Linked DNA regions of Neurospora crassa OR74A. The protein of the gene in region 2 interacts with the protein of the main gene of each other region in a pairwise test. Links are inferred from orthologs where the notes say so. Each region holds a gene or a part of one and is shown on either strand. Other genes may lie near its edges.

Evidence for each region.
Region 1: the proteins of NCU01563 (region 2) and mdk-1 interact in a two-hybrid assay, tested with the Saccharomyces cerevisiae proteins (2 studies listed by BioGRID). The link is inferred for Neurospora crassa OR74A from reciprocal best matches to the Saccharomyces cerevisiae genes SSN8 and PHO85.

What each region holds. Positions count from the first base shown.
Region 1 is NC_026503.1:4,280,537-4,284,856, reverse strand, and holds mdk-1 (cyclin-dependent protein kinase), read right to left. Parts: upstream 2,856-4,320; 5' UTR 2,394-2,855; coding exon 2,325-2,393; intron 2,236-2,324; coding exon 1,291-2,235; 3' UTR 80-1,290; downstream 1-79.
Region 2 is NC_026502.1:3,075,699-3,079,736, forward strand, and holds NCU01563 (RNA polymerase II holoenzyme cyclin-like subunit), read left to right. Parts: upstream 1-1,366; 5' UTR 1,367-1,453; intron 1,454-1,513; exon of another isoform or gene 1,514-1,573; 5' UTR 1,574-2,014; coding exon 2,015-2,174; intron 2,175-2,264; coding exon 2,265-3,142; 3' UTR 3,143-3,503; downstream 3,504-4,038. Other genes in the region: NCU01564 (calcium dependent mitochondrial carrier protein), read right to left, coding at 1-108, 204-366; NCU01562 (2,4-dichlorophenoxyacetate alpha-ketoglutarate dioxygenase), read right to left, coding at 3,523-4,038. UniProt on the Saccharomyces cerevisiae protein: Component of the SRB8-11 complex. The SRB8-11 complex is a regulatory module of the Mediator complex which is itself involved in regulation of basal and activated RNA polymerase II-dependent transcription.

The DNA.
Region 1 (4,320 bases), on a different chromosome or scaffold from region 2:
CATCATATCACCAACAGTTCTCACAACTCATGTATAACGGTGCTATCTCGAATTGCAAATATACAATTCAACCCAACTGAGAGAACACCCTAAACTCTCTAGTAAACAGATAGGGGAATAATGAGAATAATGAGGACTATCACCAATGTTCGCTTTAATTCAACATATATGGAAACTTTCGCTGCTAATCGTAACTACTAATTAAAGGAAAGGCAAATGCATAAGTACGGCACAAAAGCCTTTCTCTGGCGTGCGCTACCCTGTTCCCGTCATCTTCGTTCAAGGCTCCAGCTATGCCCCCGTTTTGTAGATAATGACCATCCCAAGTAAACATGATAACAAAGATTACCATCTACTTATTTATTGTGCTCTTCCGCCGTGTGTGATCAGTCGCGAGTAAAGCTTGAGGAACGTGCAACATCGGCGTATGTTCTTGTCCGGAATGATCGAGAACCAGGCGGCAGCTTCTCAAACTGAAAACAGATGAACTTCTCTTTCCAGCGTTAGGTCCGGGACCATTCACATCATGAATTAATATTGGAAACTTCGTGGAAATTCAATCTGTTTATGTCGAGGCTCATGTGACGCCGGTAACCTCGATAAGGCCGGTGGAGGAGGGGGGACCGGAGGCATGAAAGATGACTGAAGCAACTGAAATCGCGGCGGCATCGCATTTGGGTGTCCATCACCCATTACACCTGTTTGTATTGGGGGCCTGTGTGGCACCATTATATTTCGCTGTCCATTATCATGTTGAAACGGGTTGAGACTGGGGTCCACGGGCAGTGACCGCCGTGACATGTCCAATTTAGAATTGCCACTCTTGAAATTTCCTTTCCACGCCATTGACAGATCTGTAGTCGAACCCATGCCACGGTTAACCAACCCATTTTCTCTCGATAAATGCCCCATTTGAACCTGTTGGTTTGAAGGATACCATGACATCGGTTGCGGATGTTCCCCACGTAGAGGATGCCCGGGCATTGGTTGAGAATATTTCCATGCTGGAGGATGTCCGGGTATTGATGGATAATTTCTCCATGCTGGAGGATGTCCGGGTATCGGTTGAGGATATCTCCCTGGTGGAGGATACCCTGGCATTGTTCGCTCTCCTAGAAACTGCTCTTCGGTGTAGTAGCCCTCTCTTACTGGCATCAGTTGCTCCCAAATCTTCTTGAATCCTGGTGGAGGAGATCCTGACACTACTGGCATCGGTCGATGCCACAAAACTGGTGGAGGAAACCCCAAAACCGGCGGTGTCTGCCTTCCGGTTTTTGGAAGGTACTCTGTCTAGTAGCCCTCGTAGTTGGGTTGCGGCTGTCCGTAGCCTCTATGTTGCTGCATCATTGGCTGTTGCTGCATCATCGGCGGTTGTTGCATCATTGACTGCTGCGCTTGGTGATGATGCTGTTGGTGGACCAGGTCGTTGAACCAGTGGTGTTGAAGCGCATCGTGAGCCGAGATTCGCAATTCGGGCCGCAACTGTAGCATCCGCTGAAGCAAGTCGATGCCGTCGCGGTCAATCTGAGGTAAGATGGATGACAGGCTCTGTGTCGCATACATTTGCCAGTTAGGCTTGTACTCGGGGAACGAGGTGAGGCCAGGCCATGTACGTTCCGTCGGCGTGCCCATTATCCTAAAAATGCGAACAATCTGATCCTCGTTAGTGGTGCCGGGAAACAAAGGCCTGCCGGTGAACATCTCAGCCATGATACATCCCGCGGACCAAATGTCGATGCTGGTGTTGTAGGTTCTACTTCCAAGAAGCACGTCGGGAGCTCGATACCAAAGAGTGACGACCTCATTCGAAAAGGTGTTGACTGGAATACCGAATGCTCTCGCCAAACCGAAATCACCCAGCTTCAGAGCGCCCTTGCTGTTGATAAGGAGGTTCTGCGGCTTCAGGTCTCGATGTAGGACCCTGTTCTTGTGGCAGAAGTCAATACCCTTGAGCAACTGATGCATGAAGGACTTGATGACATGTGGCTTGAGGGCTCCCCTCTCGCCGTTGGTGTCCATAAACTTTTTAAGATCGCCATCCATGTACTCAAACACCAACATAAGCTTGTTCTCGGTGTGAATAACATCGTGTAGAGCAACAATGTTCTCGTGCTTCAGTTCTTTCATGAGCGAGATCTCGCGGATTGCCGTGCTCGGTGTCCCCTCTTCCGAGTCAAGGTGAATCTCCTTGAGAGCTACAAGCTCGCCCGTCTGTCGGTTGCGGCCTTTGAAGACCTGAGGACGTAGTGTCAGCCATTTGCACCCTACAAATACTTCTCCCTGTTCACCGAGGGACAGTTCTGGGCCAAGGAGAGATCTCTTACAGTAGCATAAGTACCCTCTCCCAGCTTTTCAAGCTGCTGGAAAGAACTTGGGTGTTTCCTGCCGTCCATGGCTTCTCTGAGTGCCGAAGATAGATCCGACTGGGCTGTGGTTGAAGAAACGGAGGACTGTTGGACTAGATAATGAGGATGTGGCGAAGGTTGTCGCTGGGTCGTATGGGCGCGGTTGAAAAGTACAGAGCCAATAGTGACCGTCTTGCGCAGGGGATTGGGGGATTCGCCGCCTGTTGGGTCTTGTTGGTCAGGCAGCTGTCGCCCGTGAGAAGCCGTGATGGAGAGCAGAGATGCACTGAAGCAGTCTCTGCGCCGATAAATCTAACAAGTCTAGAACAGTGTGAAGATGGGAGTGGCGATCGTAGGCGGTATGGGAGAGGCGGTTCAGACTTTATGGGAGATGGTGTACGGTAGATGTTCGCAGGCGGTGGAAGGGTCGGGCGTGGATGTCGGAATGAGGACGGATGGTGGAAGGGTCAAACGTGGACATGGAAGGGGAAATAAGGTTGCCCTGGGTTGGTTGTTTGGGTTCAGTTGGGTCAGGCGCGCGCCAGGAAGGGCAGTGGGGACCTCAGGTACAGCAGTAGTCTCAGTCAGACCCACTAACCTCCAAAACCACCCCACCCCACCCGTTTCTGCGGTAGCAGGTCTGAGCCAATTTTGAGTATTTCGGCCGTCAGCCGCTGTGGGGCCCAACTATTGCAATTGAACTCTGCTCTAGTTAGAGTTAAGATACACCTTAATTCTAATTATTTACTTTTACTAGAACGAAACCCCTAAAGTCGTAATACGTAATATATTTGTTTTTATTCTCCGTAATTCTAATTAGAGCGAAACCCCTAAAGTCGTAATACGTAATTTATTTGTTTTTATTTACTATAATTCCGATTAGAGTAACGTATATAGACCTACGACGCTTAATTTATTCGATATAATTTACTATTCGTTCTAGGAAACGGCCGTTCTAATTTTATTTAATAACCTTTTTATATTTGTATTTAATTTACCCTTCCTCTTGTTTAAATTTAGTATTCTCCCGAATATTCTAATTATAATAATATATTCGATTTGTATGTATTTAAACCCCGGGGTTTTAATTCCGACCCTTTACCGCGGCCCTCCAACCTTCCTGAACCTAATTAAATATAGCCTACTACTATAGGATTAAAGTAATTTAAGCGTTACTAATTAGGATTAATACTTCGCTTATTTTATTTAAAAGTATTAAGTATATTTATATTCTAGGGGGATATTAAAACCTTTTATTTGTAGTTGGGTTAAGATAATTCGAAGTAATAACTAGCTATCGGAATCCTATATTAGGTAATTCGTTAATACGCTATATAATAATTATATATACGAAATTTTCTATTATAATAGTATTACAATATATTTTAGTAATAAAAGTAATTTATATAATATAAAGAGCTTTTATTGGGAATTAATATTTTTCCTTAAATATATTAACCTATTCTTATTTTTTATAAAGTTTAGTGCTTCTTCCGTTCTATAGGGGGACTAATTATATAATATTATAGATTTGTATAATATATAATAGATTATATTAATTATTAAATAATATATTAATAATTTACTTAAATATACGCCTAAATTATATTTGTTTCTTACAGGTTTAATATAGTATACCTGCGCTTATAAGAAAACGTAGGGACTATAAGTTCGTTATAGTAATTATATTTCGCTTATAATATATATAATTTTAATTATTATTATATATATTGTCGCCCTTGGCAAATCCGATTTCTTTTTGTAAATTATAGATTTATATTTATATATTAACGGCGTTGCTAGGCGTATTTAAAATACCTTATCTACTTTTAGTATTTATATATTTTATATTAGGATTATAGTAATAATTAAAACTCTTATAATTTTTATAATAGTTAGTACTGTCGATTATTTATCTTATAATTTATATTAATACTTTTAAACTAATTTTAAATATATTGTTTCTAACCTTACT
Region 2 (4,038 bases):
CGGCGGTCTCGACGAAGTTGCGGAACTCTTCGTATTGGATCTTGCCGTCGCCGCTGGTGTCCACGACCTTGATGATATCCTTGAGCATGTGGTCGGCATTTTGCATGGCTACAAGAAAGACGGGCGCTTTGGTGTCAGTAGAGATGGCAAGTCGTGAACATGCGCATGACGAATCGCATTGGCGTTGGCAGGCATTGGCTCACGGTGATCGATCCTTCTCAACCCCTTTTGCAGCCCCTTGAAGTCGAGCTCTCCGTGGCGCTGGGGATCCAGCTTCGTCCACAATTCCTCGACGCGCTTGTCCCGCTGGTTCTGCGATTCGTCCATGCCGGCTTGGAGCTCTGCGAGCACATGGGAAACCTTCATTCCCGCTGTCGGGTTCTCATCATCCAACGCGGCATGCGCAGATGGTCGGCGTTGGTGTTCGGATATTTGCGCACGGCGGGGGAGGGGTCGGCGCGGAGAGGGAGCCAGACGACGGGGAGACGGGGAGCGTTCAATGCAAGTTCGGAGCACGACAAGAATGAATGGTCGTCGATACGGTAAAGTTCAGGTAAGGTACGGCGCAGTGCAATGCAAGTGAATGTGCAGTGCAGTGTAAAGGTTAGGTTAGGTTAGAGGTATCTTTCAGTTCTTTCCGTTCCTATGGTATTATGTATGCGGTGCTATGTGCAGTGCTGGCTCGCAGCTGAGGCAAGGTGGTTCAGTAGTGTGGTACACACAAGACCTACCATAGGCTCGGAAGGCAGATAGTCACTGCAAGGTCGGGACCTCGAGTGGTCAGGAATGGCAGAAATGAGACCGCCCGTCTAAACTAGCGGATCTAGAACCGTTTGCTGTAAGCGATTGGGTATGACGTAGGACAGGGGCTAGAGCAATAGGTAGGTAACTTGGATTTGGAAAATAAGATGAAATAGAGATCAAAATACGTTACGAAGCGACTGTTTGTATGAGCGGGACCTTCAAGGGGAAAATTAAAGTTACTTTCATGAAAAGAGATTGAGCCAAGCCACTCACGAATGGGATGGGACGAGTGGGTGGTGTATCGCTGTCCATCTACCCGTCACCCTATCTCCACGGGTATCCATTCTCCTCAAATAGTGCCTTTTGCACATTGCACCTGGCACCCTCCACAATTTTCGACCACGAATCTCGGTCCCTTTTTGAGACTCGAGACTTTGTTGACATGTAGCAAACAATGAAAGGGAAATCGGGGGTGGTGCGGGTGGCCGAAGTGATGAACGTGATATTCACGAAAAAAGCGGATCTGTATCGGAAGTGGTTTCAGTGGCCCCGTCCGGTGTGAGCGTGACACGGATTGTTATCTTGGCTTTTGTGTTGGGTCGGGGTAACACAACCCCAACATCGACAGCATTGAATTGAAGCTCGAGATAACCCAGGTTACCTATCTTGACCCAACCACCCGAAACATATTCAAGTCAGGAGAGTAGAGGTATGTAACTCAGTCGAGTTGTACCTCCAACCGTCCGGCATCCGGCAGCATCTTGACTCCACCCATCTGCAATTCACTTCCTGCAAACAAGCAACAAAGCTCTGATCAGTATCGGAGCAGGGTCATTTCTTTCGCCGTCTCCCTGATTGGCCAGCCCTGCCATAACATGTGGGCCTCCTAGGCCCTTCTAAAGTTTAAACCTCGGGTCGAGCAACCTACCTAGGGTCGGGTATTTTATCGCCAGCCTTATCAGCTTATCTTGGGCCCCGGGGTGTCCATCCGATCGCAAGCCATCACGTAATGTTTCTTTCCCGTTCAACATCAACCAACATCAAGTCGGAGCAGTGAGCTGAAGGCTTTCCGAGGTCTTGGATAGCGGCGCGTCGCAACAGGGTTTGAGACCTCCTCCATTACATAGGATTCCAACTCCACCGATCGTCAAAACGCGCGACCCAGAACATCTCCTACAGGCCAAGCGGACGACCATGTCTGCAGCGCCTTGGGAAGGACACAGCTAGACACCCGACAGCAGTTCGAGGCACCGAGACACACACGGTTACCATGGCGGCCAACTACTGGGAATCTACTCAGCGCAAACACTGGCTGTTTACCAAAGATGAGCTTGCCGCTATGCGCGCAAAGCTAGAGGCTGAAGAACCCAACCTGGTGGCCTCGTTTCCTCTCCCGCAACTGCGCCATCTGAACATCTACTTCAACCAACGTTCGTCGTATCTCTCCACGTCCCCTACCCCGTCCACCCGTCCGTCTGTTCGATGAAGAGAGTCGCCAACATACTTCTGTTTTACTCTAGAAATCAACCGTCTCGGTAAGCGCATGGGGCTACGACAGCAAGCCTTGGCCACCGCCCAAGTCTACATCAAGCGCTTCTACACCAAAGTCGAGATCCGGCGCACCAATCCACACCACGTTCTCGTGACCGCCCTATATCTGGCCTGCAAGATGGAGGAATGTCCCCAGCATATTCGGCTTATGGCCAACGAGGCCCGCGGCTTTTGGCCTACAGACTTCCAATCCCAGACAGAAGTGGCAAGGATAGGAGAATGCGAGTTCTACCTTATCTCAGAAATGAGCTCACATCTCATTGTCCATTCACCCTACCGTACCCTTACCAGCTTACAAGGGGAGCTTGGGCTGGCACAAGAGGACGTCAACCTTGCCTGGTCCGTCATCAACGACCATTACATGACCGATCTGCCGCTGCTCCACCCACCACATGTGATAGCCTTGACAGCCATTCTCTTGGCTCTGGTGTTGCGTCAGGATCCCAGCGGTCGTCTCCCTGGAACAGCCGCGTCGGCTTCGGGACTGGTAGCCGCTTCGGCAGCGTTGGCTCAGGCACAGGCGCAAGCACAGGCACGCGCTGCCATGATGGCGGGGGGTGGCCAGACTGTGCCAGGTCTCACCCCCCAGTCTTCTTCTGGCTTGCAGGCCATGCTTCCACCCCAGTCACCAGCCGGAGAAGGTCCTGCCGAAGGGAACAAAAACCCACGTATGGCAAAGGTTCACCGATTTGCTGCATGGCTGTCTGACAGTAATATTGATATTGAGGCCATGGTGGACTGCACGCAGGAGTTGATCTCCTTCTATGAATGCCATGAGCAGTACAATGACAAGAACACTCGGGAGCAGATCAATAGGTTTGTCAAAGCTCGCGGGCTGGACAAGTAAAGTATTGGTTCTGAGATCATGGATCGAATATCTCTTATTTGATGAATGCCTGGTGAGTGGTTAGACAACGGCCATGCGACCAAACGGAAAACGCTTCTTATTATCAGACTTGGACTAGTATGGCCCCTAATCCCGTGTTGTATTTTTTTTCTTCTGTGGGGGCACTGTCAATTATTGGATCATGGGCTCTCAAGCTGATAGGCATACGCATCAGTTCAAGGGCAATAGTGACATTTTAATCATAAGCATACAAGTAATGTCGATCGAAGCTTTACGTTCAAACAAGCGGACGAACTAGTGTAATGGCCCAAAGAAGGATGTCCCTCACCATAGAAATGACTAAACAGACTCTTACCTCGCCCTGGCTTTTCCATCAAAAATCACCTCTCAACCGCAGCCGATTGCGTCAACGGCAGCCCCTTCTCCTTCGTTATGCTCTCCAATGTAGGCAAAGGCGCCCCCTCGCCATTAAGCCCCCAAGCCGTCGGGCCCTGGTCGAACGCCGTCGTCCTCCTCATATCTCTCCTATGCTTACCTACACCCTTAAACTCACCCGCGCGATGCAATACAGCTCTATTATCCCAAATCACCAAATCACCCGGCCGCTCCCACCTCACACTCGCCACAAAGCTCTTGTTAGCCACATGCTCATTCAAAAACTTGATTATCCCCTCCGACCCCGGCACCGTCTTCCCCTCCCCATCCTCCAACCGCCACAAATAAGCACCCACACATAAATTCATCCTCCCACTCTCCACATGCTCTTGCACAACCTTGTGTCTCGCTATAGGACCCTCCTCCGGGTTCACGTCTTTAAAGTACTCAGGCGCCCCCAGCTTCCGACTATGAGCAGCATTATACACCCCCGTCCAATCTTTTGTCAGCAACTCCCTCTT